2 linked regions of the Caenorhabditis elegans genome follow. The protein of the gene in region 2 purifies or fractionates together with the protein of the main gene of each other region. This does not show direct contact. Each region holds a gene or a part of one and is shown on either strand. Other genes may lie near its edges.

Region 1 (3,759 bases), on a different chromosome or scaffold from region 2:
AATGCTGAAATTTGTAAACTTTAGACACTTGGTTTCTTACAAGGGAATCTTCACAGCTTACATGAACGAGAACTAAAACCATTGAAATCAGTGATAAATCGATAAAGTGTAATACACAAATAATAGTTCCAGAGATATGACCTGACGGAACAAAATCTCCAAATCCAATAGTTGAAAATGTACTGAAAGAAAAGTACAAGGCATCATAGAATACAAACTCCTCATAGACAGCAATTGCAAGTGCTCCGAAGCCCCAAAATGTGACAAGAAGAATAAAAGCTTTCAGTACTGTCATCTTATACTTTGCCGACTTTTTGCCACTGAAAACTAAATAATGAACTCAAATAAAGATTTTATATGGAAAGTTGAGAAGAGGTTATTTATGTTTAAATGTTAAATTACCATTTTCGAACGCAAATTGCAAAAATTTTGAGTGTCAAATTGCATATTTTCAACGTTATTTTTCCATTGTTGCGAAGTACGTAGAGTGTTAGAGCAATTCCTATAATACCATAAGCTACAGTAACCAATTTACCGGCAATTGTGTGACAGACAAGTTCGCCGTACCCTGAAATAGAAAATAGAATGATTAGACGACACCTCGGGAGAAAATTTTAAAAATATTTTTCAAAATGTTCGAAATCAGTTTTGATACTATTTTACTTGTTAATCCCGAGTCATACCTATTGTCGTAATACAAGTGATTACATAAGCCAGCCCATCCAGAAACTCTTCTATATGCTTTGGAGGGTTTGAAGCGTAGAGTAGGTCAAAAATTTCTTTTATACAATTGTTGTTCAACTCATTATCTGCCTGAAATAGATGAAAATTGTATCGAGGCGTTTTCCGGGTATGCTCAATTGAAAGAGATGCAGAAATACTTTCACAAACCTTTTTCAATTTTCCACACTTGCTACCTTTCATTGAATTGTAGATGTGTATTGATTTCTGACGAATATTTCTTTTGAACTCATTAATCTGAAAATATTATCAATGAATATATATCTGCAACAGAAACAAAAGCTTTACAAACATTCATATCAGATCTCGATTCAATCTGCCAAAACAAGAGAGCTCCACCAATTATATATGCAACAAGAACCACAAATGCAATTATTGTATTAAATTCTGAAATTTGAAACATTACTTTAAGCAGAATATAAACCAAATCCTCACTTCGAATCTTTCTCAAAATTGTTCGTAATTTCGTTGGCTTCGGTCTTTCCGCTCTAGACTTTCGTTCAACAAATTTTAAAATAGATTGCTTTCTGACAAGATGTTGAGTTTCTGGTGAAGATTTTTCCATTTGCCTCTTTATAAATTTATTAATAAGTCGATCCGTGTGAGTTTGCATTCCATCGCTGAAAGACTATTGCAGTTTGGATTGACAGTGGTGAAGCAGTGGGTATTGTTTGAGAAGATTTGACAGCTATTCTGTCGTCTTTATATTTTCCTGGTGTAGATAATACAGAAACTCGACATTTTGCTTCAGCTTTTTCTCGCACATTGTCGCACATCTTTGCGGGTTACCCCTAGTTTCGAATTTTCCGCGCATTTCTTCGCATGCTATCGTAGATCGTCGCAGATTTTCGCGATTTCCCAGCTTTCAATCGCACGGAGCGAAATGTCGAGCATGTGGGTTACAAACTAATTTTCTTCTGTGGATTGTAGTTATACTCACCTATTAGAAGTGTGATGGTTAGAGCTGTGTGATTTTTGATTTGAAGGTATTGAATCTGAACTGAAAAATGTAGTTTTTTTTAGATGAAAACAATGATTCTGCAAACCTCGATTGTCTTCTATTTGATGCTACCATTGGGACGATATTGACTCCAAAAATTAGAACTGACTTTTAAAAAATCGATTTTTAATAGTTTTGGCCATCTCAGAAAATATCACGTTTCTTGGTTATGGTGGTATTTAATAATTTTATAATTTTTAAAACTGTACGTAAACAATTTTTTCAAGAAACTTGGCGAGCTCAATGAGTTTGAAATTTTTTAAACAAATTTGGATATTTATTTTTGTATCTATTTGAGTGTATACGACAAATCTCATCTTGTGTTAAACAGTAACACATTGAAACAATAAAATATTTATACTCGAGATCGGTATTCAAAACGCCTCGGATCAAGTTAACATAATTCTTCAAATTGAGGCTCTGGAAGGGAAAGAAACTACGAAAACAAACAGTCTATGGTCATAGAAAGACCAAAGAAATTAACTACAGATGTTCATAAAAACATCTGCACTGGCATTGTAAGAGAAGAAAGGTTCATTAGGGTAAACTCGTTTGTACTTTATTGAATTTCCGATTGTCAAGAGAAGAATCCTTCTGGTGCTCCGCCCTTCTTCGACAGCATAACCGATTTGACAGCCTTCTCAAAGTCATCCGTTCCGACACATTTTCGTTGAGCACGAAGAGCCAGCATACCAGCTTCCGTGCAAACCGCCTTGATTTCAGCTCCACTAATGCTCTTCTCCTTTCCCAATACATTCTCATAGGTGACAGCTTTCTGAATCGTCATTCCAGAGGTGTGGATCTAAAAATAAAAATTATTTAAGAAATGTTGAATTGACTAACCGTGAAAATCTTTTGTCTAGTCTTCTCATCTGGTTTTGGTAACTCAATCTTTCTATCAATTCGTCCAGGACGGATAAGAGCGGGATCCAGCGAGTCGATTCTGTTCGTTGCCATGATAATTTTGACATCTCCACGGCTTTCAAACCCGTCCAATTGATTTAAGAGCTCAAGAAGAGTTCGTTGAACTTCTTGTTCTCCACGTGAAGAAGTATCAAATCTTTTCGTACCAACTGCATCAATTTCATCAATGAATACAATCGATGGAGCCTGTTCCTTTGCCATTTGGAAGATTTGACGAACAAGACGAGCACCTTCCCCACTTTGTTTCTGAACAAGATCGGATCCAGTTGCACGGATGAATGTTGCAGATGTTGAGTTTGCAACTGCTTTCGCCAAAAGCGTCTTTCCAGTTCCAGGTTCACCGTAAAGAATAACTCCTTTCGGAGCAGTGATTCCCATTTCTTCATAGTACTCTGGATGAGTAAGAGGAAGTTCCACAGACTCTTTCAGCTCTTGAATTTGACTCTCACATCCTCCAATGTCATCGAATGTCTCTTTTGGTGTCTTCTCAACTTTATGTCCCATCGCATTGCTGTCAATCTTGTCATCCAAAACTCCAACGATTGCACTTGGAACTGTTTTGAACATTCCACCAGCCTTCACCATGACGAGGGCATTCAGACGAAGCAAGTCCTTGTCGACGATCGAGAGAATTGGTACGTACCATTCACGTCTCGAACCTTCAACGACCACAACGGCATGCTTCTCATCATCGAAAAGCTCGTGGACACGAGCCAATGTGGTTGGAGTTCCTCGGAGACTTTGAACTAATTGCTGTTCACGACGTTTTTGGACAGCAAGAGGGCGACCATGACGGCTTGTTTGACGAGTGATGAACTCTTTCTGTAATGAAAACAACTGTTAACCATTTAACTGCAGTCATAGGATCCCTACGCAACTGACATAAACAAAACAAAATTCTCTACGTCTATCCTACTACTCCAACCCTACAACGATTTGAAGTTCGTGTAATGATGACGTCATAGATTGCAAACTACATTTACTACAAGCTATGGCTTTATGAAGTGTTAAAGACCTCGAGTTAGATAAATTCCGCATCTTTGCTCTCTAGGGATGAACTCTTTGCTTTCTAGGGATGAACTGATAATTTAGTT
Region 2 (3,759 bases):
AAAGTATCAAAAAATATTTATAGAAAAATTTTATTGAAAGATGGCATAAGATAGATAAATTATAGTTCAGGGTGATTTTTTGCCCGAAATCGCGGAAAATGGTCCCAGAATACCAAATTTGATTTTTTAAAAATTTAAAACATTTTTCAATTTTATTAACTTTGCAGAAAATTTTGCATTTTCGGCTGTATTATTTTATATCTCTTTGTTTCATGATTTGTAACATAAGGAAACGTAAAAATTCGCAGAAACTCAAAAATTGGCCATAAAATCAATATTTTAACATTAATTAAAATTATCACTAGCGTTGTTTTAATGTGAACCACAAGAAAGAAGATCAGCAATTAATTAAACCGGAAAACCAAAAATGTCAAAACTAGGCCATTAATTTGAGCGGGAATTCAAAAATAATTCGGTCTTTTATAATTTTCAAATTAAAACTGTAAAAAATTACCCTTGAACGCCTCCGTAGCGTGTGGAGCTCTACACTTGTCCGGATGTAACTTCAACGCCAATTTTCGATATTCTTTACGAATATCATCATCGCTCGCCTTCTTGTCAATTTTAAGAATTTCGTAATAATCCTTGCAATGACGAATTCTCTCGACCAATTCTTTTTGTTCACTGGTATAATCAACGCCAAGTTTAGGTGTTCTTGATGCAGATCGTTGTTTTGGTTCTGGTTCTGTTTTTCCATTCTTTTTTACAGGACTTCTAGCTTTTCGATTCCTTAAGTTTGGGTCATCATAGTGATCGTCGTGAGCATAACTACGTTCTTCTGAAGCACGTGATGAAGATGTTTGGGAAGATGATGATGTGTTGTTTGTCATATCATCTATCTTTTTCGTTAGAACTGAAAATAGTGTTTTTTTTTAAAATTATTTTAATTAAATTTTCAGCGACTTTTTTCAAGATTTTTCAAAGTTTATCTATAACCTTTACAACTGTTGAGTAAGAACAAAACTCTCAAATTACATGTCTCACGTCTCAACGTTTCTTGCACAAAGGTTCCTGCTTTTTCTTATTTTTGATAGGCGTAGAGAGTGAAAGAAATCGTTTCTCTCACCAAGTGGGTTGTAATAAACGGGTCCTTCAATGATGTATCTTGTATCTCTTCGTAATGGTCATTTTGGTTTCACTTCGGTTTTTTTTGCCGAAGAAACGAAAAACAGACGTTTGTGTGAACGGAAATTGGAAATTGATTTCAATTTTTTTGCATGGAAAATTAAATAAACACAGATTTTTTCAGAATACGGGCATGTGCATCAACTTTCAAATCTTTCAAGTTACAGAGTTTGTGCAGAAATTTAAAGATGGAGCAGCGGAAAAGGGGAAAATACTCAAAACAGTCTGAAATTCGGAAATACCACAAAAAAGAAACGAAAAAAAGTGTGAAAGGATAAATCCATATTGGTTTTAGCGAAAATTGAAAAATCTAATTTTTAATAGTTAGATTTTTCATACTTTCGCGATTTTTTCGTTCTTGTTATTTTATATTTCTGATGTTCAGTCTATTTTTAGCATTTTAAAGCAAAATCTCACATTCACGCTGCTCTACATCTGAAAAGAAATCTTACATTCAATATTTTGACCAGGATCCAACTTTTTCGCCTTCAACAGCATTCTCCTTGCTTTATCGGTGTCACCAGACTAAAATACATAATTTATTAACTGAAATGCTGAACAATCACAAAACTCACTTTAATAGCCTCTCGAGCTTTATCCATACACAACAGTGATTCGCTTTTATTGGCGTCTGCTGTCATTTTTGGGCTGAACCAATAAAAATAGATTATTGACTGTTTCAGTTAACGAGAACAACAGAAAAGAGATCTCATGATAACGATAACGTTTAAAAATAAGAAGAAAACCAAGAACTTCGAACTAGATAGAATTAAAATTTAAAAACATTGGTTTAAATTGAATTTAAAATAGAAAGCTTTTGGAACCAATAATGAGCCATCGAAATGTCTGTTCCTAGTCTTGCAGAAAAAAGATATTTGTCCGAGAAGCGAGAGAGCATAAAAAGTGAAGTGTCGCAGAGAAACGAGCAGGCGAGTAGCCAACGTAGCCCAAGAAGCAGTGAGTGACTAACTTTCAATTATTGATCGGTGGCAGCTATTGCGGTGGAGCGTCATTGCTTATTTTTGTTTCTATTTATAAAATATATTTATTTCAAATTTAATAAATTTCGGGTGTTAAACACTTTGGGTTCATAAATTTCAGTCAGTGAAACGGATTAAAACTAATAATCATTTTTTCGCAAAGAACTTTGAGTAAAGAATTTGAAGCATTATATTAAAAACACATATTTCCTCCATGATGCAAAATTTTGGTTAAATTAAATAAGAAATTTCTGGATTAGAAATAAGAAAACGTGTCGCTAATTCTGCGAAAAAAATCGATAAAAGTTGCATGACGAAACTCGTTGCGAAACCCAAAAATAAATTCGGGTGCTGTACCTTTAAAGAAGTACCGTACCCCGAATTTTTGCGATCCTTTTTATTAATTTCCCTATTCACTTCTGGACGAAACTCTCTGCTGTCATTACAATTTTCAGATGAAACGACTTTGGAAAAAGGTTGGGTCTGGTGTGAAGAATGCGAATTATCTCAAAAAGTCTGTAGAAGAAGTAGCGAAAATTGAAAAAGGGGAAACAAAAGTAAGAGTACAAAAATAATTTTTAAAATATTAACTTAATAACTTCTAAATTTTCAGGTCGTCCCACCAAAATATCCAACTGAAAAATCACGAGAAGTTAGCGAAGAAATCAAAAAAGAATTAGCGATGAAAAATGAAAGTTTGGTGGAAAATATGAATAAAATGTACATCAAATCAACTGATCCAGTTGAAAGATGGACATCTACGAAGTGAGTTTAGTTTCAAATTGCATTTGATTTTTATAAAAATAAAATTCAGAGATCTTCCCACTCGTGAATCGGAATTTCTCCATCGGAATGATCCCATCTGGGAATATGGGTTCTACGAGCCGCCCGTTGAAAGAATTCCGAAAGATAAATTGATGTTCAAAGAAGCGCTAGAATATCTTCGATTCCGCCAAGAGCTACTTTCCGATTCAAGTTCACCAGCACAAAAGTAGAATTCATGTTTTTAATGATTAGTCTAAAACATTCATTCAGAAAGCAAGCCGCTGAATTTGTTGCTGATCATGTTGTTACTTCTCGTGTAAATGCAGAAACATTAGATGACATTTATGAATATTTTCGACCATTTGAGAGAAAGGATAAACAAAAAGTTGTTCGAATTAAATTTTTGAAAAATATTTTATTAGTTCAGGTTGTCAATCGTCATGCCCTTGCAGCTCTTCAAGATCATGTACAAGGAAATTCAGATGAAAGACGAATTTTAGACGAGGCAAAGGTAAGAACAATCGAATTGATCTTGAAAACTGAAAGAAATTAAAAGCTTCTAATTTTCAGGATGTCGGAAAAAAGATTCGCCATATCAGTAACAATACGAAATTCCTGGACGAATATCAACGAGTTAGTTCGCTTTTCCCAATAACCTCTTCATCTTAAAAATTATTACAATTTTTTTCAGCTCGAAGACGAAGAAAAGGATAAGGTCCGAGAAGCAATTGCCCAGCTACGCCAAGAAGAACATGAACGACTGAATAAACGTTTGGGTCAATTAGGAGAAATTGAGAAAACTGCACAAGAAGCTATGAAGAAGGCTGTAGAAGAGAAAAAGGAAAAATAGTCATCATAATTTGTATGAGTTATTGGTTTCTAGGTAGAT

Evidence for each region. Proteins that work in one complex are often made in the same cells at the same time.
Region 1: the proteins of dnj-1 (region 2) and twk-37 fractionate together in Caenorhabditis elegans (co-fractionation; one large-scale study listed by BioGRID). This does not show direct contact.

What each region holds. Positions count from the first base shown.
Region 1 is NC_003279.8:6,269,695-6,273,453, forward strand, and holds the start of twk-37 (Potassium channel domain-containing protein), read right to left. Parts: upstream 1,840-3,759; 5' UTR 1,817-1,839; coding exon 1,788-1,816; intron 1,742-1,787; coding exon 1,682-1,741; intron 1,362-1,681; coding exon 1,177-1,361; intron 1,129-1,176; coding exon 1,034-1,128; intron 979-1,033; coding exon 892-978; intron 814-891; coding exon 684-813; intron 569-683; coding exon 403-568; intron 321-402; coding exon 62-320; intron 5-61; coding exon 1-4. Other genes in the region: C10G11.8 (AAA+ ATPase domain-containing protein), read right to left, coding at 2,319-2,543, 2,585-3,487.
Region 2 is NC_003282.8:11,297,050-11,300,808, reverse strand, and holds the start of dnj-1 (DnaJ homolog subfamily B member 1), read right to left. Parts: upstream 1,774-3,759; 5' UTR 1,767-1,773; coding exon 1,701-1,766; intron 1,651-1,700; coding exon 1,578-1,650; intron 854-1,577; coding exon 455-853; intron 1-454. Other genes in the region: B0035.15 (uncharacterized protein), read left to right, coding at 2,561-2,662, 2,719-2,870, 2,920-3,096, 3,141-3,255, 3,298-3,381, 3,441-3,503, 3,562-3,720.